4 linked regions of the Caenorhabditis elegans genome follow. The protein of the gene in region 1 binds, or shares a complex with, the protein of each later gene. Each region holds a gene or a part of one and is shown in the gene's direction. Other genes may lie near its edges. The genes, in order: eif-3.C, eif-3.G, eif-3.K and eif-3.I.

Region 1 (8,095 bases):
CTTAACATAATTTACGATGGTCTGAAACCTCAACCAGTTCAACTTCCAATTTCATATTATGTAAGTCTCAACACAAATTACAGATTTCAAATCATATTTTTTCAGGCTCAACTCTGGTATAATCTGTTGGATATTCTTCGAAGATTCACATTTCTACCCATTATTTCACCATATATTCATCAAGTTGTTCAAATGTTTTGTCCTCGAGAGAATGGTCCACAAGATTTTCGAGAATTGATTTGCAATTTGATTTCGTTAAATTGGCAAAAAGATCCTCACATGAAACACTGCGCAAATCAGGTGTTTCAAATTTTCAACTGTATCATAATGGGAGTGAAAAACGAGAAATTGAGAACAGAATTCGCTCAACATTTGAAATTCGAAAAACTCGTTGGCACTCTCTCCGAGTACTTTAATCCTCAAGTACACCCGGGAATGATAAATCCAGCAATTTTCATCATTTTTCGATTTATTATTAGCAAGGATACTCGATTGAAAGATTACTTCATATGGAACAATAATCCACATGATCAACCTCCTCCGCCAACAGGATTAATTATAAAATTGAATGCTGTAATGATCGGATCGTATCGATTGATTGCAGGCCAAAATCCTGAAACATTACCTCAAAATCCAGAATTGTAAGTTTAAAAATGAAAAATTCCTCCATCACTAACAAGTTATATTAATTTTCCAGAGCTCATCTTATCCAAGTTATAATCCGAACATTTGATCTTCTGGGTCTTCTCCTTCATGATTCCGATGCAATTGATGGATTCGTACGGTCTGATGGAGTTGGAGCAATTACTACTGTAGTACAGTATCCAAACAATGATTTGATAAGAGCTGGATGTAAGCTCTTACTTCAGGTCTCTGATGCAAAAGCCTTGGCGAAGACTCCATTGGAGAATATATTACCATTCGTAAGTTTTACGTTTAGAAAATCACTGGACTATTAGAAAATTATTTATGTGTTCTTTTACTTTAAAAAATTATACTAGATGCCCCAAACCTATCTAATTCCATAGTGATACTTCACTTTTGTAAGAAGTTTCATTATTAAATTCGGTCGTTTCAGGCTAGTTTTAGTCTATTCAAATTAAAAAAAAACTTCTCTCCCTTCAAATAAACTGTTTAAAACCGGAAATTTTCAGTTACTGAGACTCATCGAAATTCATCCGGATGATGAAGTTATCTATAGTGGAACAGGATTTCTGAGTAACGTAGTGGCTCATAAACAACACGTAAAAGATATTGCTATACGATCCAATGCAATTTTCCTACTTCACACGATAATCTCAAAGTATCCACGACTAGATGAACTTACCGATGCTCCGAAAAGAAATCGAGTTTGTGAAATTATTTGCAATTGTCTGCGTACATTGAACAATTTCCTGATGATGTGGATTCCAACGCCCAATGGAGAAACGAAAACGGCTGGACCGAATGAAAAGCAGCAGGTCTGCAAATTCATCGAAATTGTACGTTTTGGAATTTGAAAAACGATATAAAAATGAATTAAATTATTTCAGGATATTCTGAAAAAACTGATGAGTTGTTTATCATGTGAAGGAATGGATACACCTGGTTTATTGGAACTTCGAAGTACAATTCTCCGATCTTTTATACTGTTACTCCGAACACCATTTGTTCCAAAAGACGGTGTTCTGAATGTTATTGATGAAAATCGGAAGGAAAATTTAATAGGACACATTTGTGCCGCCTATTCATGGGTTTTTCGTCAACCGAACAATACAAGAACTCAATCCACAAAGCAGCAACTTGTTGAACGTACCATAAGTTTATTGCTTGTGCTCATGGAGCAATGTGGAGCTGAAAAAGAGGTGGCACAGTACTCGTATTCAATTGATTGCCCATTAAATCTGCTGAACGGAAATCAAGTGAAACCAACGTTTATTCACAATGTGCTTGTTGTATGTGACAAGATTTTGGAGCACTGCCCGACGCGTGCGGATATTTGGACGATTGACAGGCCGATGTTGGAAGGACTGACGAATCATAGAAATTCAGATATAGGTATGTGTCTCGAAAATGTGTTCATAAATTAAATTACAATGCATTTTTTCAGCTAAAGCCGCGAATTCTCTGCTGAGTCGCTTCCCTGAAAACGACCTTCTTGCTGGTATTTTTTCAAATCGAGAATATTTCTGATTTAATGGATAAATCTGTCAACTCCATCTTTCATCCCAAAAATCCCCGTTCAAAGCCATTAATTCGTCTAGTTGGAAGCTGTTTTAGCGTGTACATAGTCGTATTATTGATTAAAATATGTTCTCTCTTCTTTTCTTCATTTTCTACCGGTCCCAAATTTCCTCATTCTTGACGATTTCATATGAATTCGAGTTTAGAACAAACAAAACGTTCCGATTTTCCTAATTTATAGCACATTTCTTCTCATTTTGCCCTCGGTTTATCTCTTTCTTTTTGTTGTTTCTTTGTTTACGTCTGTAGCATAATATTTTTGAATACAAAACATTTTCGCGATTATCTTTGCATTTTAACTATCAAATTCCTGTCTTATATACGTCTTTCTTCGATGTTCTTACGTTGAATAGAAAATAAAATTATAAAACTTTTTAAATGTTGGATTGATTTACTGAATACTCGGTTCATATATAAGTTATTTAGAGACTATTCTCGTTCTGTAAAATTAACCTGAAATTGTGGAATTGTGATTAAATAATAAATTATTATTTAAATCTCCGCGCAAATGCCCACTGGCGCAAGTGGCGAGTGCTGACGCATCTCCCGTGCACGCGAAACGCGCCAGTAAGGTCTTGCAACGATTTTCTTATGTTCCACTTCCACTTAAATTTATTTCAGCTAAATATTGACCCATTAGCTGTTTTTTGAATTGTTTTCAAAGGGAAAATCGTTTTATTCATTTTAAATTTTAAATAATATTGGAATTTCTGTCTAATTGTGTATCTACTGCTTGTTTGCTTCTTGTTTTGGGATTTCATAATGTCAATTTTGTTTCAGCAATGTCTCGCTTCTTCCATGCTAAGGAGGACTCTGATTCCGACACTTCGTCCAGCGAGGATGAGGTAGAGGATCAAAAAGTGAACAAAAGCGCGAAATTTCGGTAATTATAATCTCCAAAGTAATTCCAAAAGATTGATTAATCTTTCAGCGATGATCTCGATTTCATGGCCGGTCCTGAAGAAGATGAGAAGCGTGTTGTTCGTGCCCAAAAGGACAAAAAATTCGATGAGCTGAAAGGAATTATCAAGCAAAATCGAGATGCAAAGAGCAACAAAGATCTGAACAGACTTCTAACAGGTTTTGATTCTCTGGCCAAAGCTTATGATAAGTCCAAGACGGTCTTTCAACGTCAGAATGTCGCAAATCCAAGATTTTACATAAGGTGAGATATATTTTTAATTTACAGTCACATCATAAAATAAAATGCTAATGAAAACTTAGTAGTTGATATAAAATATTTCAGGTCTCTTGTGGAAATCGAAGACTACGTAAATAAATTATGGGATGATAAAGATGCTAAATCTGCTCTTTCGAAGAACAACGCAAAAGCTCTTCCACCTCTTCGTCAAAAACTGAAAAAATACATCAAGGATCAACAACTGCAAGATCTTGTTACCGATTATCGCGTTAATCCTGACGAGGATGGATATGAAACTCCAGAAGATGAAGACGACGATGATTTTGGAGAGGTTTCTGAATCGAAGGCTGAAAAGTCACCTGGAAAACCATCTGAGAAAGCTGCAGTGAGCGATAGTGACAGTGACAGCGACGATGACGACTCCTCTAACTGGTCTTCTGAACCAGAATCCAATTCTTCTGATGACGAAGACAGTGTGACTAAGATGGAGCAACTTCGTAGGTATTTCTTGAAAAAAGAATTCCGCGTGGAGAGCAAAGATGACAAGAAAGAAAAGAAGAAGAGAGTTATCAGAGTCAAAGAAGCTGTCGAGGAAGACGATGATGCGGATTGGACTCCAGTTAATCGTGAGAAGTCTGTTGTTCACTTTGATCCCAAGGAAGAAGTTACTCATGACGTTATGATTAAGAAACTCAATGAGGTTATGTCGGCTCGTGGAAAACGAACGACAGATCGTAATCAACATGTTGCTAATCTTCGAAAACTTTTGGAGGTATCGGAAGAGAAAGAACTTGGTCTAGGAATCAACGTTAAAATCAGTTTCTGCATAATCTCGGCTCTTTTCGAATTGAACGCTAAAATTAGTGATCACATGGAGTACGAAACATTCATGACCACTCTGCAAACCGTCAACAGCTTGCTCGATCTTCTCATCGGAACTGATCGTGTAAAGTTATCTGTGACATATGCTGAAGAAGATGAAAATCTGAAGGTAATACTTGCATTCCTAAAATTAATAAAAATCCTAATATTTGCAGGATGACACTCAAGAGTATCGCATTCAAGGAAGTATTCTGATTGCTGTGCAAAGATTGGACGGAGAGTTGGCTAAAATTCTTCAAAACGCCGATTGTCATTCCAATGATTATATCGAGAAGTTGAAGGCCGAGAAGGATATGTGCTCACTCATTGAAAAGGCCGAGAAGTACGTTGAACTTCGTAACGATTCTGGCATTTTCGATAAACACGAAGTTTGCAAAGTGTACATGATGCGCATCGAGCATGCCTACTACAAATATCAAGATCAAAATGAGGAGGATGCTGGAAAGTTGATGGATTACTTGTGTAATAAGATCTATACACTTGATGATGAGAAACGATTGAGACAACGTGCTATGCTCTGCCATGTTTACTATCTGGCTGTTCATGACAAGTGGCACCGCGCCAGAGATCTTCTTCTTATGAGTCACATGCAAGCTATCGTTGATCATTCTGATGTCGACACTCAAATCCTCTACAACAGAACTATCTGCCAACTCGGTCTCTGCGCTTTCCGACACGGTTTCATTCGCGAAGCTCATCAAGGACTATCTGAAATTCAAAATACCCAACGTGCCAAGGAGTTGCTTGCTCAAGCTGTTGGAACTCGTCAGCACGAAAAGACTGCTGAACAAGAGAAGATTGATCGTTCCCGTCAAGTTCCATATCATATGCACATCAATGTTGAACTTATGGAGTGTGTCTATCTGATCTGTTCGATGCTTCTCGAAATTCCACACATGGCTAGTTGCGAATTCGAAATGCGTCGTCGTATGCTCAGCAGAAGTTTCCATTACCAATTGAAGCAAAGCGAGAAAGCTTCTCTCACTGGACCACCAGAGAATACCCGTGAACATGTTGTCGCCGCATCGAAAGCAATGTTGAATGGAGATTGGAAAAAGTGTCAAGACTATATCGTCAATGACAAGATGAACCAGAAGGTCTGGAATCTTTTCCATAACGCTGAGACTGTTAAGGGAATGGTTGTGAGACGTATTCAAGAGGAATCTCTCAGAACTTATTTGCTCACATACTCTACAGTTTATGCCACTGTTTCGCTCAAGAAGCTTGCGGATTTGTTCGAACTTTCAAAGAAAGATGTTCATAGCATCATCAGGTATTTGTAATATTTTACTAGACAGTACATAATTTTTTTTTATTTTTTCAGTAAAATGATCATCCAAGAGGAACTTTCGGCTACACTTGACGAGCCCACCGACTGTCTCATCATGCACCGTGTTGAACCTTCCAGACTTCAAATGCTTGCTCTCAACTTGTCTGACAAACTTCAAACTCTTGCCGAAAACAATGAACAAATTCTGGAGCCGCGCACTGGACGTGGTGGTTATCAAGGTCCAGGATCGTGGTTTCCAGGAAGGAACGAGCGGCAAGGAGATAAGCAGAAAGGATCTGGTGGATACCAAGGAGAACGACGTGGAGGACAAGGACAAGACGGAAAGCGAGGAAATTGGGGATCTCAAGGTGGTCAGCAACGTCGTCATCCTCAAAAGCCACGAGCCTTCTAAATATCCATTTTTCAATCGTCTCTCCCATTCGTGGAACCCGCTAATACGCCTTTCATGGCGCCTGCAATTAGTCTCAAAAACTTTTTGCAGGCGCCAATACTTGTTGAATCTTTTATTTAATTGATCAGTTTTTTTGGTAATCCCCCACCCTTTCCCACTTTTCCTTGTTCAGTGTGAGATCTGAACTTTAAAGCTCTCATTTTTCGTTTCCGGTTAGTAGTGTTTAAGTTATACTCTTTCCATACTGTTTTGTTTTTGCTAATTATTTATATTGGGTTGCCGGATATTATTTTAATGAAATATTTAATTTGATTCGTCCAATTTTAAGTAATTTTTTATGAGCCCCGGTTCTGTCCAATCAGTTATTTTCTCAGATCCAACAATAAAAGTAACAAAAAATTAACATAGAATTCATATTTCAGGTTACTGGAAACATAAATTTCGCCTCAAAATGGGTAAAAGGAAGGCATTCATTGATAAGAAAGCCAGTCAAAGTTTTCGATTGGTTCCGGATAATAGGGAAAGAAGTGAACGATTCAAGCCAACTCAAGAACATTTGGAGGAACAGCAAAAGTATGGAGTCTACTACGACGATGATTATGATTATTTGCAGCACATGCGAGCTGTTAATGAGGTTTGTCATCTTAAAATCAATTTGATCAAATACCGAAACTTAAAAAAAAGTGTTTGTTTTTCGATTTTTCAATGAAATCAAAAGATTTTAGGATATGTCAAAAAATAGCTTAAAATTTTGGTCTTTGTACTTCTTTTAAGTAAAAAATTTCTATGTTTTTTTAATCAGCATTTTTTACATTATTTCATAAAATTGAATTTTATGGATGATTAAAAAAAAGTTTTCCATATTACGGAAAATCAAAAAAAAAACAATTTTTCGATCACCTCTTTTAGAACATAATCGAAAAACAATCTTCTTGTATTGGTAAAATAATCATTTAAATTTTCAGCCGATGAAGCTGGAAAATGTTCATGAAGAAGTCGAGAAAACGACCATCAAAACGAGTGGTTCATCAGCATTCCCACCAGCTCCACCACTTTTCGGACTTGTCGGTGCTCTTAAGAAACCGGAATTTTTTGACGAAGATGTTGCAAATGCGTTGGAAGAGGTGACAGATGATCGTAACACCGGAGAACTTGAAGATAATTTTATCACACTTGCTGGTGGTCTTCTTGATGAAAGAACTACAGTTTATAGAAGTACAAGACGAGGTGAAGATTCGGAAGAAGAAGAGGATGACGATGAAGACGATGAGATGTATGATGATTATAATGATGACGAGTTATTTGGAGAAGAGGCTGTTGGAGAGATTAGAGTTGAAAGAGCTGATCAAAGAGTTATTGATAATGCTTTTGAAGAACTCATGGATCGTGAATACAACACCGATCAGGTATTATTTCAGAATTATTGGCTTGAAAAATATGATAATTAAACTTATTTAAAAATCGAACAGTTTTCGAAAAATGCCATAAATTTTCGCCATTTTTCCTCTCTTTAGAATGAAAGGATATGTTTTTAATTTTTTCTCTTTACCATAAGAAAGACTTGATTTAAAAAAAAATGATTTTTTGACTAGATTTTTTTTAAAAAATTGTTCTTAGATTTTTTGGTTTTCCGGAAAATCAAAAAAAAACTTTTAAAAAAATCAAATTTTTCGCTTATCGGCTTTTCATAGAAAACGAAAAAATTTAGATTTCCAGTAAAATCGAAAATTGAAAATTGAAAATTTTTTAATTTTTAAAAATTAAAAAATCGAAAATTATCGTTTTTTAGTTTTTTTTTCGGAAAATTCTTTAAGTTTTGGCAAGTTTTCCTCTTTTTAGAATAAAATAATCTTCAACATAAACAAGACTTGATTTAATGAAACATACATTTTTTAGTTTTCTCAAAAAATTTTTCAATCTTTCGGTTTCCTCTAAATAAACTCATTTTTATGAAAAATAAACTTCAAGAAAATTATGTGTTACCAGAAAACATTCTACTTTTATTTATTATTTTTGAGATTTAATCTGACCCAGTTTTAAAAAATGAATTAATTTTCAGATCGGAGAGCTTGATGGTGACGACTATGATGTTGGAGGAGCACTTGAACCGAACGCTGGACGACTTCACAAACTTATAAATGACAAAGGACCTTCAAATGCAGAGTAT
Region 2 (6,283 bases), on another chromosome or scaffold:
AAAACTAAGTCAACTAAAATATTAAACAGATAGATCTACGACATTTTGTTGCAACCTATTATCAGAACTAGACGAACAATGTTCTAGTGACCGGCTTCAGATAACCAATGATCTGATGTCAACCAGATCACACCTTTCAAATCAGAATGATGTCATGATTTTATTTTTTGAAAAAAACACGAAAAAAAACAGTTGTAGTGATCGAAAGATTGCTACACATAGATGACGAGAAAACCGTGCAGTGTCACTTGACCTCTATAAGTGTAGCCTCCAATTACATTTTGTTCTCACACTGAATCAGTCATGACTTGATGGTCAAGACGATTCCGACACAAATATGTATGGTGGTTTGTGTTCGTATCATTGTGTGTGACGTCACAAATCCCGATTTCTGATCGTATCCTGATCCGAAACAAACGCAAACAAGATGGAACAAGTATTTTCACACACCCGTTCATAAAAAGTGTTTCTTTTAGGGGTCTTCCAATTGTGGTAATTCACGGGTTGGCTGGATACGCTGGATTATCAAAGAAAAGTTTATTGAACAAATACTATTCGTATGGGCAACCAAAGGGAACTGTATTCGCAACAACATATGCAAGAGGAAAGCTGATGGACTCATTGCAACACGGAATGCAATGCGATTATGTGTTGAAGGTAGGTGTAAAGAAATGATGGGATTATATAATAGACATGAGAAATCATTTTGATTTGGGAATTTAATTTAGACTCTGAAAACTACAAGAGGAACACTTGCAAAAGCTAAGATCAAGTGTAGTGTAACTATTGTCATCATCACCAACATCATCATCATTAAATCTAATCTTTACAATGAGAAAACCTCGCCATATCATGTCTCCGTTCTGACGCGGCGCCACTGGTGTAGTGAATGTGTAGTTTGTGATGGTCACAGTTAGACTGGCCTTGTGGGGGAATTTCTATAACTTCTGGGTTTGATCTCGTCTGTTAATATAGATAAATAGAGAACAAAGGGATGATCGGTGATCTTTCAAGACCCGATTGATAACGGCCGGAGTGACGTTGAAACGGAAAAAGGACGTGACCCGAAAAAAGAAGGGATTGTTTACAAACTACACAAAACACAGATTTATAATGACTGGTTGGGTAGACATCTTTCGGAAGGGATCCGGATTGAGAAGGATATTCTAAAAGAAAAGATGAAGGGGAATCTATAGGTGAAATAGGGATTACAATCAACGAAAGGAATATTGCAATCCAAACTGTAACTCTAAAATTTCAGGTTCGCACTCTCATTCTTGCTGTTCATGAATACACTCAGAAACCAGTAAACATCATTGCTTGCTCCATGGGATCTCCAATTACCAGAAAAGCTATTCTTGGAGGACACTGTGTTGATAGTGGAGTCAATTTGGGACGCCCAATTAATCATCTAATTCATAATTATGTTTCTGTTGGTGGAGCAAATCACGGAGCTATTATGTGCGCCAAGCAGCCATTTGTGAATGGAATCTGTAGTTTAACACATGGTTTGGATTGCCGTTCCAAGTTCTTACAAGAGATCAACTCACAGTAAGTTTCGCAAAAAAAGTATCCCAGCACAGGGAATTGAACTCATGCAGGTGTGCGTGAAAGGCAAAACTTTTAGCCACTAAGCCAGCAAGGCTTTTCATTTTTTGGGTATACTAGGGCATACTTAAATTTAATTACGTTGTTTTCTGTACACATAAACATTAATTTCATGATTTTACAAGTCAACATTTTTTTCAGGCCGTTCCAATACGGAAAGAACATGTTCGCCATTTATTCCGTAGCTGACGAAGTTATTGGACTCAGAAATACGTGTGGAGAGATGTCCTCACCATTAGAAGGAGCCACTTCAATCGTCAAAACTAGACTAATGCATGGAGCAGTTATTGGTGGAACTACAGAAGATCAATGGAGGGCTCTTCAAACCTCATAAAAACAAAATCTCACCAAAAATACTAATTGACATCAAATTTCACTTGTGATCTCTTTAATTTCCTTGTTTATATTGATTCGAACTCGTTGCTTTCATTCAAAACTTTGTGTGTATATTGTTCAAAAGTTTAATAAATCAGTACAATCGTTGATTAAATTGGTATTTTGAACGAAAATGATCAGAATGTTAAATTCGTCCAAGTGATCAAGTCCATCAGGCGACTTGTAAGAATTCTCATAAGAATAGAGATAGGAAACTGCTATATTTCGCAGATCAATCTAGACACATGATACAATGTTGTGATTTTCTCCGAAAACGAAGATATTTATTATTTTCTTCAGAAATCTCTTCCGATGAGACTGAATAATCTGTGAAAACCGGAGCGGCGGCGCCATTTGGCTTTTGGGCAATACGGTGCGCAATTCTGCAAACACATGATCCCACGCGCAAATGCACAGATTTCCCAATGCGTCGTTGTTTCCCAAATTTTCGATTTTCGGGATATTTCTACATTTTTAAAAGATTTCCAGCCGTGTTTTTGTTGTAGAATATTTTTTTTACATATTTATAGTTTGTTTTTATAGATATTTGCTAAAAACTATGAATCTAGTTGAATATTCGCTTATTCTGGAAAAAAAAATCAAATACTTTAAAATCTACATGTTTTGAAGAGCTGTTTCTTTTTAATTCTGAAGTTTGTTAAACCATTTATTTGAAATTTTTTCTTATTTTATATTGCTAAAAACATAATCAATAGTTTTTCAGGTAGTAAAGTTACAGCTATGACTGGCATTAACGCGTGAGTTTTCACCCTCGAATAATTATTTACGTAAAGAAAGTTTCAGAATGGCTCCCGCTCCAGAAGTTGTAAGCTGGGCTGAGGCCGTTGAGCAAGACAGTAAGTTTTTCATTTCTCGTCTTCAAGAATATTTACGTGAACTTTCACGGTTTTCGCATTTGGAGTGCAACCGCCTAACAAAACGAGTCATTTCTGTATGAACTGATGAACGCTTTTGCAGACGCCCCACACATCCAGGAAGGAGCTGATGGAACACGTACCGAAACAGCTTTCACTGAGGTTGATGGAGTAAGATGGAAGGTTTGTTATCCGATGGCCAAAAAATTCGCCTTACAGAATTCTCGAGTTATGCTCTAGAATTCTTTCAATTCCAAATTTCAGGTTGTGACACAGTTCAAAGTTATCAACAAACGTGTACCAAAAGTCGTCGCTGATCGCAAAAAATGGGTGAAATTCGGAAGTTGTAAGGGAGAGCCAGCAGGACCCCAAGTTGCCACAACTTACGTGGCTGAAGAAGTCGATATGCAATTCACAAGAAATCGCGCAGGAGAGCAGATTCTTGACGTTCAAGAAGACAAACAGACTGCTAAAACTACAAGCCGTGAGCATTGCCGTCATTGCAAAGGAAACGACCATTGGAGTACTCATTGTCCTTACAAGGTCATGTACCAATTGGACGAGGAAGCTGATGCTGACAAGGATACTGAAAAGGATAGAATGGCAATGGGAATGCGTCCTGATGGAAGACAAATCGATAGAAATCGGTAAGCATTCAAAATACTGTAATCTAAGTTGCCCAAAAAATCTTGATGATTGAATAATTTATGAACTATTTTTAAAACATACTTTCAGATCCGATGAGAATACATGCCGTGTCACCAATCTTCCGCAAGAGATGAACGAAGACGAACTTCGTGATTTGTTCGGAAAGATTGGAAGAGTCATCCGAATCTTCATTGCCCGTGACAAAGTCACTGGTCTCCCGAAAGGATTCGCCTTCGTTACATTTGAATCAAGAGATGACGCCGCCCGTGCAATTGCAGAACTCAATGATATCCGAATGTACCATATGGTTCTCAAAGTCGAATGGACACGTCCGAGCAACTAATCCGTTTTCTGATTTATTTATGTTATGCGTACTTGGATGTTTTCCCGCTGTTTGGTTCTTCATAATTTCGTAGCTAGTGTCTGTCTAAACTGAAAATTACTGTAGACCAATTCGATGTTTGTTGTTCTTTCCTATTGAAATCATAATTTTTACTTTCTATGGTTATCAGAGTTGGCAAGTGAAGTTTATTTTCACGAAGGCAGTTCTAGCTATGAAAATTGTTGGTATTTCCTTTTCTTTCTTCAATGATAAATCTATCTCTTCCTGGTTATTTTTTCGTTCTATTTTTCCAATCGAGTTGGGTTTCTGTCCAATGTAAAATATCATAGTTTGAATAAAAATCTGATGGCTAAAAATTTTCAAACGCAATAGAACATTTTATAACTCAAAAATTCCAGATGGGCTTCTTGAAGATTCTCCGTAAGCAACGTGCTCGGGAACGCGAGATGAGAATATTAATTCTTGGATTAGACAACGCTGGAAAGACTACTTTAATGAAAAAATTCCTCGACGAGCCGACTGATACAATTGAACCAACATTAGGATTTGATATCAAAACCGTGCATTTCAAAGATTTTCAACTAAACTTATGGGATGTTGGCGGACAGAAAAGTCTAAGATCTTATTGGAAGAATTATTTCGAATCCACAGATGCTTTAATTTGGGTGGTAGATTCGTCAGATAGAGGTAGAAACAAATATTTAGGATACATTCAAATTTATAAAAACTTTTTTCAGAGCGTCTTCTACAATGCTCCGAAGAACTCAAAAAATTGCTCGGAGAAGAACGATTAGCCGGTGCTTCTCTTCTAGTTCTTGCCAACAAAAGTGATCTGCCAGGGGCCATTGATGTGAATTCAATAGCACAGGTAATTCAGATGTCTTCAGTATATACTTCCGAAAAGAAATGCTTTCTTGTAAGCCTTAACATGTAGATATTTATATTAGATTCATTATTCACATGTTACTCTCGTAACATACATTTTGAAAATGAAGAAAATCTTTAAAGAGGCACGGAAACATAGGAACCTTGAAACTACTCAACCTATTAAGAATTTTCTAGGTACTCGATCTCCATTCCATCAAATCCCATCACTGGAAGATCTTTAGTTGCTGTGCACTTTCTGGTGATCGACTGGTCCAAGCAATGACATGGTTATGCGATGATGTTGGAAGTCGATTATTCATACTTGATTAAAATTGTTATCAATCAAACTGCTTTGATCTCATTTCACACTGCTTGTAAATATATAAAAATTATAGATTTTAATTTATTTTTCATTGAAAAACAAAATAATAAGGGCTTCAATAAATTATATAAGAAAATTGCACACCGAGATTTCGGTTGACATGGTTGGAGATTTAACAAGCTGATTGCATCTTGTCGGATGGCACCATCATACGGGATACGATCATATAAGTGATGAAAATAGCCACGAAAACGGTAAGACCAAGGAAGACAGTGACAACGGAGATATGGAAAGAGCTGATACACAATTCTTGTCGGAATGAATCTTCTCCGATTTCTCTCGAAGCTACGAGAGCTTGAGCTTGTGTGAGAGAAGATGGGAGCTGAAAACAATGAATGAGCAAATGAACACCATTTTGACAACTTACATTTCCTTCCAAAACTTCCAAAGTTGTGAGCTCAGCACGGACATCAAGAATATTCTCCATTACTGGAGCGGATCTCTTCTTCAAAACTCTGAAGAACTGAGCAGTTTGGTTAGCTTGCTTAACTGCTCCAAATCCTTGTGGCTCAGAGCACGTTGGGCGAGCACACTCCTCATTTGGTTCCTTAACAGTAATGGAAATCTGGCATTGATAGAAAAGTTGAGAACGATCAGCGTATTTGTAGACGTGAGCCTCTTGTCCAGCCATCAAATCAGTTGGATATTCCAAATTGTTGAGCAAGAACTTATCAAGAGCACAACCGTTCTCATCCAAAATTTGCACGGTATCACCATTTCCATCATCAACAGTGCAAGAGTGAACGACAGCGCAGAAAGTATCAACGGTTTCAGAATCACAGGTCCATTTGTGATAGACTTGTTGTCCAATAGTTGCGAATTGAACTGGTTCTCCAGTTGGTCCTCCGTTAAGAATCTCGTATTTACAGATTGGCATTGGAACAACCTGGGTTTGGAAAGCGGTGGTAAGATCAGAGACTTCAATTTGGGTAGAGACTGTCTTGTCGGCTTCCATGTAGAAGCATTGAACACGGTAGGCACTGGAAATTCAATTTGCATTTTTTTAACGAGAAGCTTCTAGTTGATATCAAGCTTTATAATTTCGGTATCCTAAACCTTCAAGAAGCATTCCTTAAAAATTACAGAAGTTTCATAGTCTTACCGATCAACCTTGGTGACAAATTGGGGATGGAAAGAGACGACGACAGTTGTGGTAACGAAGACTCCCTTTGGATTCAGAGATCT
Region 3 (6,262 bases), on another chromosome or scaffold:
AGCATTTGACATGTTGTGGGCCTCCTCCACAAGATGAGACGGCAGAGAAACATACGGTCTCTGCGTCTCTCACTCCTACATCTGATCTCATTTATTTTGCACATATTGATCTACCGTCCGGCTCTAGTATGTAGACATTTTTGTTGAACCTTTTGAAGTATAAGACATATAAAAATGTCTGTATACAAAAGAGTAATTTAAAGGATAAATATCAACTCCAGTCGACAATGTAGTACTAAGTTAACTCAGTACTACATTGTCGATTTTTGAAGGTTTTTTGAATTTAAAAAAAGTTGGCTTAAAGTGAAAAGCGGCTAATGGAAAAACTTATTAGTTGAGTTAAAAGAGAGAAATTTCGGTCCAAAGATTACGCTGGCTACTACAGTACCCTCTTTACTGAAGAGCTGATAACTACATAACAAAATGTTCAGTTTGAAATGATTAATATTTCTTTAGTTGACAATATTTTTCTAACCTGTAAGACAGACTAGTTGCATGTCCCCAAAAGCTACATTGATTAGAAAGTCAAATAACAGTTCATGAAATACTTTTTTTAAAAGTTAGAAGAAAGTATTCACAAAATTGTTAGATATCTCATATAAAATAAGTTCCCAATTGAAATATCAATTTCAGGTTTCAGGACTTAGTGGTATAGCCGGTTTAAGATGGCCAACTTGGAAATGTCAAAATCCCCATAATTTTTTGTATATAGAAATGTAGTTCTTGTTAGTAAAAATTGTTTTAAATCTGCTTGTCATAATATTTGGTTAATAAAATTGTTGTATCTTTAAAGATAACGGAGATTGTAAGGTTTTAATTAAGGGTGGCATGTAAAACCACAGCCATCAAGTTATGGTCGTATCTTTTTATTGAGAAGAGATATCAAAAAACTCTCAACTTAAGAAATGTCTGTCTTTTTGTAATGCTCATTTTGTCAGTTTATCATTAGTCTCTATCTCAAACATGAACAGAGTTATATATGCTCAAAATCTATGAAGTGCATCCACTTTCTACAATCAAGGCTATAGCTGCTACAGTCTACCGTATCATCGATTTCTGCTCAAATTTAAGAACTCCTGTTGAAAACAACGGCAAGGTGGCCAGCAAGCAAACCGCGAGAGAGTTGGTACATTTCTTGTGAAGGAGACCGTGTACAGATTCCACGTCGCGCTGGCCGAGCCTTTGAGGACTAGTAATACGGTGGAGTGTCGTTAGCGCGCTCTGTTTAGCAAACATTTTTCATTTATTTTTAGGGTTTTCAAGAGAACATTTCAATAGTTTTCATCTGTTTTTTTTTGTATTTTTAACATTAGTTGTTTCAATTTTTTTCAGAAATGAAGGTAGTTCTTCAACGAGTTACTCGAGCTGCAGTCACCGTAGGTGATGAAGTGGTAAGAATATATTAACCGTTATTGTTTAAAATATCATAATCAGGTAGGTTCCATTGGAAGAGGTCTGTGTGTGCTTGTCGGAGTTCATCGAGATGACACGGAAGAGGATATGAAGTATATCATTAGGAAAATTTTGAATCTACGAGTTTTCCCTGCTTCGGAACAAAAACCATGGGATAAATCAGTTATGGATCTCGATTTAGAAGTGCTGTCTGTCAGTCAGTTCACCCTTTACGGTCAGTTTAAAGTGAGTTTTGTCTAATATACTTAAACAAAACTATTCATATTATTTCGTTTTTTAGGGAAATAAACTGGACTTTCATACCGCAATGGCCCCAACAGAAGCTTCAAAATTTTATGCTTCTTTTCTTGAAGCCATGAAAAAAGCTTACAAAGCTGATAAGATTCAGGACGGCAAATTTGCAGCAATGATGAGCGTCGATATTGTAAATGACGGACCTGTTACAGTTACTTTTGATAGTAAAGAAAAATAATAAAAATTTGTTTTACTACTGTTGAATTTTGTACAATTTTGTTCATACAGCGGTTTGATTCCGTCATCATATCTTAATTATTTTCATATATTTATATTCTCTGGCAAAACCTCATATTACGTATACCTTAAATGCGAGTTTTCAATATCTTACGCACATTGGTCTCACCACGCAGACGACGACTTACTGTAACTTTTGTCGATTTATGGATTTTGCATTAAATTTTGATTATATAAATCGTAACAGAAATTTTTCCTTTAATTTGAAAATTATGAGGCAAATGTGGCCCTTAATTTGACACCAGTTACAGTAACCCGATATCAGCGTGGCGAAACCCATACGCTGAGTTTTCCTCTAACAATAGTTTTTTCTTATTTCTAATGTAAATCTCATTAAAAACTGAAAAAAAAACTTGGAAAAACGTCTCCATTTCAGTTTGTCTGATAGCAAATCGAGTTCACTGAAATCTCTTAACCCAAATGGGGAGTGCCTCTAAAATCGAGGAAGATCTGTGCAGGATATGCCTTCAGATTTATTCGATGCGCCTTTAAAACTATTGTTATTTTGATTGAGAAAATTTTTTTTCTTTCTCTTAAATATTTTTCTATCAGTTTTGATGTGTTCTGTAGCTTTTTTTCTAATTAATGGAGAAACTTAGCGTAATTTTAATCGATTTGACAAAAGATGTGCGCAACTTTATGCAAGATTTTTTTCACTTTGCGCAGGACTTCATCGAGTCTGTTCAGGAGTTTCACTCTACTTATTATTTCTCGCAGAGTTTCTTTTCTTCAATTGCTATAATTTGTTTTTAAGATGTCGTTCGAGAAACTGCAAAAGGAATTGCACGAAGCTATCGAAGGAGTAAACCGATACAATCCGGAAAATGTTGCCGACTTGGCTGCCTGCGTTCAAGCTATGGTCAATGAAAACAAGTACGATAAAGATATCGTTTTGACCATTCTCAAGCTCTACCAGCTTAACCCGGAGAAGTAAGTATTCAAGAAGATTAATAAATTTCAAAGAGAATTTTTCACAGGTACGACGAGGCTGTTGTTCGACAAGTTTTGCTCAAGACGTTGATGGTTTTGCCATCGAGTGATTTCGCTCTCGCCAAGTGTCTCATCGACACCAACAGACTCGGATCTCAAGAACTTCGCAGAATCTTTGATCTTGGAGCTGTGCTCGAATCTTGCAACTTCGCTGTTTTCTGGAAATTGGTGAAGGGGGCGTATAAAGTGAGTTTTTACACTTTTCAAAGAATAGATTTATCTAATATTGAAACAAGTGAGCTTTTCAAAATCAAACCTTGTTTTGTGTGCATCTGAAACTCAGTATTTATTTCAATGCTGAATCTATTTATTTTTGGAATATTCTTTAATTTCGGCGTACGACTAATCAATTTTTAAAATTTCAGCCAACAACGAACCCAAATGAACCCTTCAAAGTTCCTGGCGAAGTCCCAAAAATGATCAAGCCAATGGTCGGATTCGAGGATGCTGTCAAGCACTGTCAGTTAAATATTATTTTTATTGCTTGACAATTTCAATACCAAGTTTTCAGATGCTTGTCGCGTCATCAGTGTTACGTTCCAAAAAATCGAAAAGAAAATGTTGAGCCGTCTTCTCGGCGGAGCCAGTGACAAGGAAGTTACCGCACTGGCACAATCATTCGGATGGGAAGCCAAGGAAAATGGAGATGTTTTCTTTGTTGCAAATCACGAAGGAACTATCAAAACAAGAAATATCGACGAGAAAATTCAATTCCCACGTGAGTATTATGCGTATTAGGTTTTTCAAACGATTTAAAAAATGTCCTAATAATCGAAGAACAAATTTAAAATGCCTAGTAAAATCTCAAGTGCATCTATCATTTTCAGATGTCGCCGATCTTCTGACCAGCATTCAACCCCCGTTGACTCTTTAATATCAATTATCACTGTCATTCAAATTATAATACCCTTGTTTCTGTTGTTCGGTTTTCCCCCGTTTCTATTCCCTTTCCTATTTATATTTCCTTTATGTTTTCATGAACTTTATTCAATATTCACTTTTACCCGCATTTTATGCATATAATATTTAACATGGATCTTCTTTTAGCGTCAAGTCTCCGTCGTTGCTCCGATGACTCTCAAACCGTCAGGTGCTCTGACTACCCATTCAGGCCACCCGCCAAAATAGATCTTCCCATTGTAACCAGATCGTGTCAAAGCCCACCAAACCATTGCCGATCGAAGTGACGTGGAACAGTATATAATCTGAAGAATATGATCTAGCGAGAAATATTATCATAATTTCAAAAGATTTTAGCATGTCTTCTCGAAGACGCATGGATTCATCCAGATTGGTCTCGACGCGCAAATAAGTTTATGGTACTTCTTTAATTTTGCATTTTTCAATGAAATTATCTTGTTTACAGGGTGGGCCAAAAGTATGGTAACACGTTTGCAGCTCTATAACTTTACTAGTGAAGAGAGTTATTACATCAATTTGTACAAGTTTTGTTCTCCATAAAATACTGACCAGATGAACGTTTTGAATTTTCAAAATGTTCCCATCCGCATCGCTGCAGGCCTTCAGAACTTTTGAGATCACGACCTTTATGGCACGCAAGTCGGCATTCTGCGGTTTTTCTACATTTTTCTCGAGGAATCCATCAAGTGTCTTACAAGTTTTATAGTTCAAAGAATGCTCTTGGTCTAGAGATTCTTTAAAAACAAAAATCCAAATAATTTCTATCACGGTATTTCTGTCATGGACTGCGGCAGTAGGTTAAGTCTTGAATGGCATAGTCGCCAGAAAGATGGATGTGAGCGGCGAGTAGCAGTATGCAGAAAAATTCATTTTAGTATTTTTCGAGACGTTTTGACCTGACTTTCCAGAATTTTTTTAGAAAATTGAGCTCGGATAATTTTGTGGGTCGTTACGCCTTGCGAAACCAAAAAAACTGAGTAAATTTCGCAAAGTTGAATTCATGAAAAATTCAAAGGTTCTTGCTAGGCGCCAGTGTCGACACAGAAAATTTTTATATGCTACAAAAACAATCAAAAACGCTTCTTCACTTCTTTAACTTAAAATTTAACATAAAAATCATACATCTGAAAATTATTGGCGTGCGTGGGAGGTGTGTTTGTGTGGGAAGTGCCGCGTGCCAAATTACCGTTTTTTCGAGGCAATCTATCCCATGCTCACATTTCCCATGCACACATTTCCCATGCTGACACTTTCTCCCGTGCACACAAAATTCCCATGCTTACGCCCAGTAGTTCGAGTACTCCCATGCCTACAATTAATTTTTCTCCTTTTTTTCCGTTCCCATGCTGACATTCCCATACATACATTTTCTCCCGTGCATACAAAATATTCTGATGCTTACATCCAGTAGTCGAAGTACTCCTATGCCTACAACTCATTTTTCCCTTTTTTTTCGTTCCCATGCTGACATTCCCATACATACATTTTCTCCCGTGCATACAAAATATTCTGATGCTTACATCCAGTAGTCGAAGTACTCCTATGCCTACAACTCATTTTTCCCATTTTTTTCGTTCCCATGCTGACATTCCCATACATACATTTTCTCCCGTGCATACAAAATTCCCATGCTTACATCCAGTAGTCGAACGTTCCCATGCCGACATTCCCACACATACATTTGTTCCCATACTTACAAAAATGTATTCCCATGCCGACATGGAGCATTTTTGTGCTCCAGAAGAGCACAAAGTCAATTTTTTTGCTCATTTTCATTGTATTAGGCTTACTTGACAGCTTTCAGTTACAACTGATCGCTTTTTTTTCAAAATGCATTAGTTCTCGATTATGAACAAGGAATCGAAGAAAAATGGGGATGACTGCCTATAGAGTAAAATTTTTTTTTGCTCAAAAAAAATTTTTTTTTTTGAAAATTTTTTTTCTCTCTATTTTGTAGGATATAATTAATTCGGTGAATTCCACAACTTCAAATGTTCATATTGCTGTTTCCGTGCAGTAATGAGTTTCGCAGTGTCTTAGGAACATTCCATTTTTTGTTGCATTTTGTAGGAATTCGGAGCTATCTTATAATTTCTACAAATTAGAAAATCCATTTCACATTATTTCATGTAACTTGAACCTATTGCTTCAAAAATAGCACAGAACGAATGTTGATTCTGTTTCTTTCATTAAAAAATGTGCTACTGTGCATTTTTTCCCACTTCTACGACTTTAAAGGCGCGCGAATTTTCGCGCAATAATCTCGCCACGCGCATCCCATTGATTTGTTGAGCGCTGGCGAGACCAATGACGGGACCATTTTGTATAAATGCGCGCGCCTTTAAAGTCGTAGAAGTGGGAAAAAATGCACAGTAGCACATTTTTTAATGAAAGAAACAGAATCAAC
Region 4 (8,536 bases), 7.5 Mb from region 1:
TGTAGATTTTCGGGGGTTTTAGGTAATTTAAAAATTTTAAAAATCCTGTCTGGAGGCCTAAGCCTAAGCCTACGCCTAAGCCTAAAGCTAAGCCTAATCCTAATCGAAAGATTAAGCCTAAGCCTTTGCCTAAACCTAAGTTTAAGCCTGAGCCTAAGCCTAAATCTAGCCTAATCCTAAGCCTGAGGCTGATCCTTAACCTAAGCCTAATCCTAAGCCAAAGCCTCAGCCTAAACCTAGGCCTAGTAAGATCAAAAACACTCCCATTTTCAAACATTTTTTGCCGAAAAAAGTGATTTTTAGCTCCAAAATTTCGAAAAAATCACAGCAATTCCGGTTTCTCATCGACTTTTTCCCCGTAAATCCAGGTTTTCAAGCTCCGCAAACTCTGAATTTTCTCCAGAAAATGAGCTCAACACTGGCCCTCTTCACCGCCATCGTACTCATGGCGTCGAGCACAGTTTTGTCCCTAAAAGTCGGTGACGACTGTGATCTCGGAAACCGGCGCCGAATCGGCAAGGGAAGTTACTACGAGGCATGTGTGAGCAAATACGAGACAGCCGGATGCTTTGCCAGTTGGGAACAGGACGAGAAATCGCAATTCGTGAAGAACGAGGAGACAATCGATCGAATGTACAAGAATAATGCCGTCGGATTCAGATATAAATGTGAGATGAGCAATGGATACATCTCGTTTGCTCCGATTGGTTGTGTGCTCAATAAGAAGGCGGGGCTTGAGCTGTTGGAGTTGAATGCCAGCGGACAACTTGATAATAGACAAAATGTGAAATGTAAGCAGAATAACGAAGGAGAATTCAGTTTTGAATTCGGATCAGAAGCTCAGAAGAAGAATTAATTGATTTTTTAATGTCTTTTTTCGAATTTGGGACACGTTTTTGAGCTTTTTGAGCTAATAAAGTTGATTTTTAAGCATTTTTTCATGATTTTAAGGTAGAAAAATCGAATTTTCACCAAAAAAAACTGGGAAAAAACGCAAAATTGTTCCACTTGTGGAGGTATTCTCATGTTCCCGTGGAGTAGAAAAGCCTAAGCCTAAGCCTTAGCTTAAGCAGTTGAGCTTCATCTCAAATTTGTGATTTTTGAGAATTATTTAAAGCTTCCGATTGAACAAAACTGCACAATTTCTGAAAAACGTGCTATTTCATCGTATTTTAGCTTAAAAATACGATTTTTTGCTCGAAAAATCGCTATTTTGACCAAAATTCAACGGAAAATTCAATTTTTCCATTAAAATTCCACTGAAATTCATATTTTTCGAGGTAAACCGCAGGTTTCGTTTGCTCCGATGAGCTGTTAGAGTTGAATGCCAGTGGACAACTTGATAATGGACAAAATGTGAAATGTAAGCAGAATAACGAAGGAGAACTCAGTTTTGAGTTCGGATCAGAAGCTCAGAAGAAGAATTAATTGATTTTTTAATGTCTTTTTTCGAATTTGGGACACGTTTTTGGTGCTTTTTGAGCTAATAAAGTTGATTTTTGAGCATTTTTTCATGATTTTAGGGTGTAAAAACCTAATTTTACACCAAAAAACTGGGTTTTTCGGATGAAAAATGCAACTTTCCAAGTTCCTTTGGAGCTTCCGAGCTTCATCTCAAATTTGTGATTTTTGAGAATTGTTTGAAGCTTGCGACAACACAATTCCTGGAAAACGTGCTATTTCATCGTATTTTTGCTTAAAAATACGATTCTAAGCACGGAAAGTTGCTACTTTGAACGAAGTTCAACGGAAAATTCAATTTTTCCATTAAAATTCTACTGAAAATCATATTTTTCGAGGTAAAATCCAATTTTCGCAGATTCCATTTGTTGATTTTTAAGCATTTTTTTAAAATGATTTTAAGGTGAAAAAATCCAATTTTCCCCGAAAAACTGGACTTTTCTTAAGAAAAATGCTAGATTTTTCCAGTTCTGGAAAGATTCCCACGTTCCAGTGGTGCTTTCCAGCAACTTTTTCACAAATTTCTGTTTTTTTTTTCAAAATAAACTGCTTTTTTTTTTAGAAATTATATATTTTTTGAGCAGAAAAAGTGAAAATTTCGATATATATTAGGCCTAAAATGGAATTTTTTGAAGAAAATTCAGAAAAAAATTAATTTATAAAAGAGAAAAATCGATATCTCAGCTACCGTAAAAGCTTTAAAGGCGCATAGCAAAATTTAATTCTAACTTTAGAGACTGTAGTTTTCGCTTCGAGACCACAAGCTTATTTTTCGCTCTAATTGGCTAAAAATTAACTTTTTCGAGGCAAAAATTTCTGGAATTAGCTTTAAAAAATGTGAAAATACATATTTTTAACCTAAAAATTCATGGAAATTTCTATAAAATGTTTTTTAAGGATTTTAAAACGTTTTTTTCAACAAATTATCGCAAAACCCCACATTTTTACTAAGAATCTGTGTGGCATTTCTGATGAGTGCTGGTGATTTTGTCAGTGACGAGAAACTGCGGTAAACTGCCTGAAAATCAATATTTTACCGGAAATTCTCGGGTTTTTTAACGATACCTGCGATCTGATAGTGTTTGACGCGTTCCGTAGGCCAGCTATTAGTCGTAATTGTAACATTATCGATCTCTGAAAACTGGATTCGGTGAAGCTTTCGCAAAAAAATCGATGAGAATTGAGAGTTGCGAAATTTAGCAGTTATTTGTGGTGGAACATGTTAAAATTTGAGTTTTTAATTAATATATTGCTAAAAATTTGATAAAATTCACTTTTTAATTGTTGAAAACTACTGAAAACCACTCGAAATTGCTGAAAATTGCTGAAAATCGAAATTTCGTCAGCTGATGTCGATTATTCTGCGCGGGGGTACGGTACGCAAGTCCGCAAACACTGTCACGCCAAATTGCGGAGGTTGAGCCAAATCCTATTTCTTGTTGTTTTTTCGCTTATTTTTCGAATATTTCCCATGTTTTCTGGCTTCTAATTTTCATTTTTTTAATGGAATTTATTAATAATTAAGCCAATAATTCATTTTATAATCAAAACTGCCGAATATTCCACCAATTTCTCGCAGAAACCTTCAAAAATAGGGGATTTCTTTCAGAAATGCGTCCACTTTCGCTGAAAGGCCACGAACGTGCTCTCACTCGGGTCCGTTTCAATCGTGAGGGAGATTTGACGTTCTCCTGTGCTAAGGACAAGAAGCCATGCGTTTGGTATACTGAAAATGGAGAGAGAATCGGTATTTTTGAATATTTTCGCGAAAAATTTTCGCAGAATTAAAGGTGGAGTAGCGCTAGTGGGAAAATTGCTTTAAAACATGCATATGGTACCACAATGACCGAATATCATGATTAAAAATTTCAAAAAAATTTTCTAAATTTTATATGATTTTTTGAAAATTGAAAAAATCTCAGTTTTTGCCTAATTTCAATTTTAATTACCGCCAATTGGATTTGTTCGATGGAGCGCGCTTGCACGTTTTTAAATTTATTTATTTTATTTATTGTTATTTTCCACCGATTTTTAATGTTTTCGGTGTATTTTTGCTTGAATTTTAGAGAAAAAGTCAAAAGAATTGCAAATTTTCAATTAAAAAGCACGCTTACAGGCGTAAATCAGTGAAATTTATTAATTCAGGTTCGAAATCGTTTAAAAGCGTTACTTTTCATTTTTTACGCCTCTAAGCGTGCTTTTTAATCGAAAATTTGCAATTATTTTGACTTTTTCTCTAAAATTCAAGCAAAAATACATCGAAAACATTAAAAATCGTTGGAAAATAACAAAAAATAAAATAAATAAATTTTAAAACGTGCAAGCGCGCTCCATCGAACAAATCCAATTGGCGGTAATTAAAATTGGAATTAGGCAAAAACTGAGATTTTTTTCAATTTTTCAAAAAATCATATAAAATTTAGAAAATTTTTTTGAAATTTTTAATCATGATATTCGGTCACTGTGGTACCATATGCATGTTTTAAAGCAATTTTCCCACTGACGCTACTCCACCTTTTAAATATATTTATTTATTATTTTTCTTTTCAGGTAGCTACGACGGGCATAACGGAGCCGTGTGGGATATCGACGTCTCATGGGACACTACCAAGTGTGTCACCGCGTCCGGAGACCTCACCGTGAAGATTTGGGATGCCGAGCTCGGCAACTGCCTCTACACAATCAACCATCAGACTCCGATGAAGTCGTGCGGATTCTCGTATTCAGGAAATTTGGTGTGCTTCACCACACAAAAGATGACAAAGAATCTCTCGACGTTCCAAGTCCGAGATCTTCGTGATTCAAGTCAAATGGTTGAGGGTGGAGAGTCATTCTTCTACTCACAATTCGATGTGAACGCCACGACCGCACTTTTCACTCAGATGGATGACCTCGTGACGATCGGATTCGAGTCTGGACTCCTTCAGCAGTACGATTTGAGAAATCCGGATACACCAATTCACACTAACGAGAGTGTTCATCGTGTTCGTCATTTTTTCGTTGTTCTCTGGAGCGCTTGCTGACACTTTACGATCTCCTGAATTGGCGGAAATTTTATTGCTAATTTTTGGTTTTTATTGTTGTGGGGAAACATTATTAGAGCCGAAAGTGTGTACAATTTGGAAAATTGGCGAAATTTCGCATTAAAAAACCGTGCGCGGCACAGTTGCGAAGAAGGCGTGCCAGGGTTGCATCCTGACTCCGCACACAAGATTAAAACCAAAAATTCGAAGAAATAATTTAGTTTTCTCGAAAAATGGAACAAAATCGGCAGTTTTTTCGATTTGAAAGCCGTGAAAATCTCATTTTGAAGAGAAAAAGCAGCAAAATCCGGCAGTGATTGATTATTTTGATTATTCTAATTTTTTTCAATGAAAAAACCAATTAAATCAATTAAAACTGTATTTTTCTCTACAAAAAATGTATATTTTAAAATTCTGAAATCAAAAAACTCCCGATTTTTGATGTAAAACCTTAAATTTTACGCGTTTTCGAGTCGTATAAAGCTTCCCAACAACAATATCCATCAAAAATTTATATTAATTTCCATAGAAACCAAAATTAGCAAAAAAACCTTATTTCCCGTGGAAACAAAATTCCGCGAATTCGGGAGTTCGTGAGGTGTCAGCAAGCGCGCTCCAATGATTATAAGACCGAGGCTCCACGAAATTCAAGATCTTGTGGAATTCCGGATCTGGCACCGTACCAACTCAAAAAAAATTAACGCAATTTTTCTGGAAAAAATCCTGACAACGATGCTCCGATGTTACGCATCGCGTGTTGTTTAGCGTTTTTCCTGAAGAAAATTTAAAAAAAAACCACATTTTTCTTCGAGAAAACTGCGAAAACTGCAGTTGGCACGGTGCCAGATCCGGAATTCGACGAGATCTTTAATCCGTGGTGCCTCCGTGATTTCTAAAATAATTTCAAAAAAAAAATTTCCCAAAATTTCAGTACAGCGTCCAAGATCTCCAACTATCACCACGCGGCGATTTCCTGATCTCCGCTTCACGCGACAAGACGGCCGCCCTGCTCGACGTGAACGATCTGAAAAAGCTGAAACAATACAAATCCGAGCGTCCCGTCAACTCGGCATGCATCTCACCGAATCGCGATCACATTTGCCTTGGAGGAGGAGAAGACGCGATGCAGGTCACACAGACGTCTGTCTCTGCTGGACACTTTGAAGCCAAGATCTATCATATGGTGTTCGAAGAGGAATTCGCCAGATTCAAGGGACATTTCGGACCGATTAACACGATGGCCTGGCATCCATCGGGCACAATTATCGCGACTGGAGGAGAAGACGGTATGGGGATTCCACTGCAACTTTTTTTTTGAACGAGGGACGAGGAAATGCGGTTTCTAGGCCATGACCGAGGATCCGACAAGATTTATCAGCAATTTATCTTGCTTTGTTTTCCGCGTTTTTTCTTTTATTTTTCACCGATGTTTCCCCCGTTTTTTCTTATTAAAACTGATGAAGAAATATTGTTTTTGCAGATGCTAAAATAATTTTCAAGTGAAAAAATTGTGAATTCAGCCGGCAAGTAGCGGTGGAAGTGGTCAATGTAATATGATGGATTACGGGAATACTAAACCTAAACTTTCTTCCAAAACATGCTATAAATGCTGCTTAGATGCTGAAACTACCTGATTTTAATAACGAGACCGCTGAAAAAGTTTTGAGATTTTCAAAATTCAACCTTTTTGGCGAAAAAGTCGAGATTTTTCCACAAAATGTTGAATTTTGAAAATCTCAAAAAACTTTTTCAGCGGTCTCGTTATTAAAATCAGGTAGTTTCAGCCTCTAAGCAGCATATGTATCATGTTTCGAAAAAAGTTTAGTGTTTAGTATTCCCGTAATCCATCATATTACATTGACCACTTTCACCGCTACTTGCCGGCTGAATTCACAATTTTTTTCACTTGGAAATTATTTTAGCATCTGGTTTTAAAAAAATTTATTTATCAGTTTTAATAAGAAAAAAACGGGGGAAAAATCGGTGAAAAATAAAAGAAAACTCGCGGAAAACATTGCAAGATAAATTGCCGATAAATCTTGTCGGATCCTCGGCCATGGCCTAGAAACCGCATTTCCTCGTCCCTCGTTCAAAAAAAAGTTGCAGTGCGATTTGAGGATTTTTCATATAAAAATTCAAAAATTATTGATTTTTTTCCAGGTTACATCAGAATTCAAGAGTTCGACGAGGACTACCTCGGCTTCACCTACGATTTTTAATTTGTTCTACGTTTTCGTTTTCTTCCTGTTTCCCGGGCGATCGTATTTGCCAAAAAAAGACCGTTTCCCCCTTTTTCCTACTCGTTCCTGTTGAAAACCGCCTAATTTTAGAGTTTAAATGACGAATTTAAGCCTATGCAGTTCGGAAAACCTTTAAAATTTATCAAATTCTAAAATTACGCGGTGGTGATTTTCTGTTTTTTCCATTTTTTCCATATTTAAGATCAATTTTCGGTGGCTTTTAATTGTTTTTTTTTTCATAAATAAATATTATTTTGAGTTAAAATTGATCTATTCCCTCGAATTTCTTGGTTTTAATCTCCAATTATTATATTTTTAAAAAAAATTAATTTTTTCTCAATTAAAAATTAAGAAAAATTGTGGGCGGAGTCAGAATGCAACCCTGGCACGCTTTTTTCGCAACTGCCGCGCACGATTTTTCCTGCAATTTTTAAATATTTTTACCCAATTTTCAGCGTTTTCAATGCCTCACACAAACGGAAAAGGCGGCGGAGCACAGAAATGGGCTGGAAATAATAAAAGAAAACGAAATTTCGATGGCGAGCAGGATCCAAGTGTCAGAAAAGCGTTGAAGGAGAAGCGGCTTCTGAAAAAGAGAAAACAGGATTTAAAGGGACAGGAGGAGACAATGCTCGACGAAGTTGAGCAGAAATATCAGGAAATGCTCAAGGTAGCTCTAAAAAATAGTTTTTTTATTAAAAAATCGATTTTTCCAGAAAAGCTCCCGCACATTTCTCCGCTTCGAGGATTTCCCGCTCTCCTGGAGGACACTGGAGGGTCTCAAGGATAATGACTACACAAAACCCACAGAAATCCAACGGGACACGATTGCCTACTCTCTGACCGGCTCAGATGTCGTCGGAGCCGCAAAAACCGGCAGCGGAAAGACTCTGGCACTGGTGATCCCCGTGCTGGAGGCTCTTTGGCGAGCAAAATGGTCTCCAGACTATGGTCTCGGAGCGCTAATCATTTCACCGACACGAGAGCTGGCTCTTCAGACATTTAGCACAATTAACGCCGTCGGAGCCCATCACGGATTCTCGTGTGGCTTGGTTATCGGCGGAAGTGACGTGGCATTCGAGAGAAATCGCATCAGCGGGATTAATATCATCGTTTGCACACCGGGACGTCTCCTACAACACATGGATGAGAATGCTCAAATGAGCTGTGATTCGCTTCAAGTTTTGGTGCTCGACGAGGCGGATCGAATGCTTGATATGGGATTCTCGAAGCAGCTCAACTCGATCATTAATAATTTGCCCGCGGAACGTCAGACGCTGCTCTTTTCGGCTACTCAGACACGAAATGTCAAGGATTTGTGCAGAGTTTGCACAAATGTGAGGGATTTCGCCCGGAAAATTGAAATAATTCCGGAATGGTTCATTAATTGAATAGGAACACGGAAAAATCGGCAATTTAAACACGTTTTCCACGTCTAAGAATTCGATTAATTTCCCAAAATCTCAATTTTTGCTTAAAAATTTATTCTCAAATTTTAACACTAAAAAAAATCCAGAAACTAATTTTTCCGTGCCTTAAAACTCAATTTTCTTGGAAAATAACTCTCAATTTTCAAAAATTTGCATGAAATTCGTCCAAAAAACTTCTAAAATGACTTTTTTCGATTAAAATTTAAAAGTTCGGCTCTTTTGCGACAAAAATGCGGTGATAAGCTTCTCTTTTTACTTTTTTGATATGAAAATCTGCAAAAACTGGTCAATTTTAAGTCAGAAAATTGGTATTTCACACCAAAATACCAAAATTGGCCATAAAATACGGTATCCGGTCTCGACACGACAATTTTTGTTCAAT

Evidence for each region.
Region 2: eif-3.C (region 1) and eif-3.G share a complex: the UniProt entries of both Caenorhabditis elegans proteins name them as parts of the eukaryotic translation initiation factor 3 (eIF-3) complex.
Region 3: eif-3.C (region 1) and eif-3.K share a complex: the UniProt entries of both Caenorhabditis elegans proteins name them as parts of the eukaryotic translation initiation factor 3 (eIF-3) complex.
Region 4: eif-3.C (region 1) and eif-3.I share a complex: the UniProt entries of both Caenorhabditis elegans proteins name them as parts of the eukaryotic translation initiation factor 3 (eIF-3) complex.

What each region holds. Positions count from the first base shown.
Region 1 is NC_003279.8:9,974,571-9,982,665, reverse strand, and holds eif-3.C (Eukaryotic translation initiation factor 3 subunit C), read left to right. Parts: upstream 1-3,003; 5' UTR 3,004-3,005; coding exon 3,006-3,106; intron 3,107-3,154; coding exon 3,155-3,388; intron 3,389-3,469; coding exon 3,470-4,355; intron 4,356-4,401; coding exon 4,402-5,519; intron 5,520-5,570; coding exon 5,571-5,928; 3' UTR 5,929-6,240; downstream 6,241-8,095. Other genes in the region: Beta-catenin homolog sys-1, read left to right, coding at 1-60, 106-641, 698-923, 1,155-1,481, 1,533-2,037, 2,090-2,172; T23D8.3 (Protein LTV1 homolog), read left to right, coding at 6,380-6,562, 6,894-7,334, 7,988-8,095. UniProt on the Caenorhabditis elegans protein: Component of the eukaryotic translation initiation factor 3 (eIF-3) complex, which is involved in protein synthesis of a specialized repertoire of mRNAs and, together with other initiation factors, stimulates binding of mRNA and methionyl-tRNAi to the 40S ribosome.
Region 2 is NC_003280.10:8,440,060-8,446,342, forward strand, and holds eif-3.G (Eukaryotic translation initiation factor 3 subunit G), read left to right. Parts: upstream 1-2,707; 5' UTR 2,708-2,724; coding exon 2,725-2,741; intron 2,742-2,787; coding exon 2,788-2,840; intron 2,841-2,961; coding exon 2,962-3,041; intron 3,042-3,122; coding exon 3,123-3,505; intron 3,506-3,593; coding exon 3,594-3,849; 3' UTR 3,850-4,116; downstream 4,117-6,283. Other genes in the region: lips-10 (LIPaSe related), read left to right, coding at 477-657, 1,262-1,551, 1,750-1,942; evl-20 (ADP-ribosylation factor-like protein 2), read left to right, coding at 4,248-4,536, 4,587-4,717, 4,912-5,046; cut-3 (Cuticlin-3), read right to left, coding at 5,211-5,420, 5,466-6,078, 6,201-6,283. UniProt on the Caenorhabditis elegans protein: RNA-binding component of the eukaryotic translation initiation factor 3 (eIF-3) complex, which is involved in protein synthesis of a specialized repertoire of mRNAs and, together with other initiation factors, stimulates binding of mRNA and methionyl-tRNAi to the 40S ribosome.
Region 3 is NC_003283.11:12,951,304-12,957,565, forward strand, and holds eif-3.K (Eukaryotic translation initiation factor 3 subunit K), read left to right. Parts: upstream 1-2,698; coding exon 2,699-2,874; intron 2,875-2,921; coding exon 2,922-3,120; intron 3,121-3,299; coding exon 3,300-3,393; intron 3,394-3,445; coding exon 3,446-3,652; intron 3,653-3,761; coding exon 3,762-3,808; 3' UTR 3,809-3,926; downstream 3,927-6,262. Other genes in the region: T16G1.18 (uncharacterized protein), read left to right, coding at 34-126, 634-720; pqn-68 (D-aminoacyl-tRNA deacylase), read left to right, coding at 1,335-1,391, 1,435-1,638, 1,694-1,885; mpst-7 (Rhodanese domain-containing protein), read right to left, coding at 3,984-4,139. UniProt on the Caenorhabditis elegans protein: Component of the eukaryotic translation initiation factor 3 (eIF-3) complex, which is involved in protein synthesis of a specialized repertoire of mRNAs and, together with other initiation factors, stimulates binding of mRNA and methionyl-tRNAi to the 40S ribosome.
Region 4 is NC_003279.8:2,482,797-2,491,332, forward strand, and holds eif-3.I (Eukaryotic translation initiation factor 3 subunit I), read left to right. Parts: upstream 1-3,064; 5' UTR 3,065-3,072; coding exon 3,073-3,208; intron 3,209-4,011; coding exon 4,012-4,445; intron 4,446-5,415; coding exon 5,416-5,770; intron 5,771-6,644; coding exon 6,645-6,703; 3' UTR 6,704-6,991; downstream 6,992-8,536. Other genes in the region: abtm-1 (Iron-sulfur clusters transporter ABCB7, mitochondrial), read right to left, coding at 2,402-2,479, 2,527-2,586; Y74C10AR.2 (Conserved secreted protein), read left to right, coding at 407-856; ddx-10 (ATP-dependent RNA helicase), read left to right, coding at 7,188-7,394, 7,441-8,061. UniProt on the Caenorhabditis elegans protein: Component of the eukaryotic translation initiation factor 3 (eIF-3) complex, which is involved in protein synthesis of a specialized repertoire of mRNAs and, together with other initiation factors, stimulates binding of mRNA and methionyl-tRNAi to the 40S ribosome.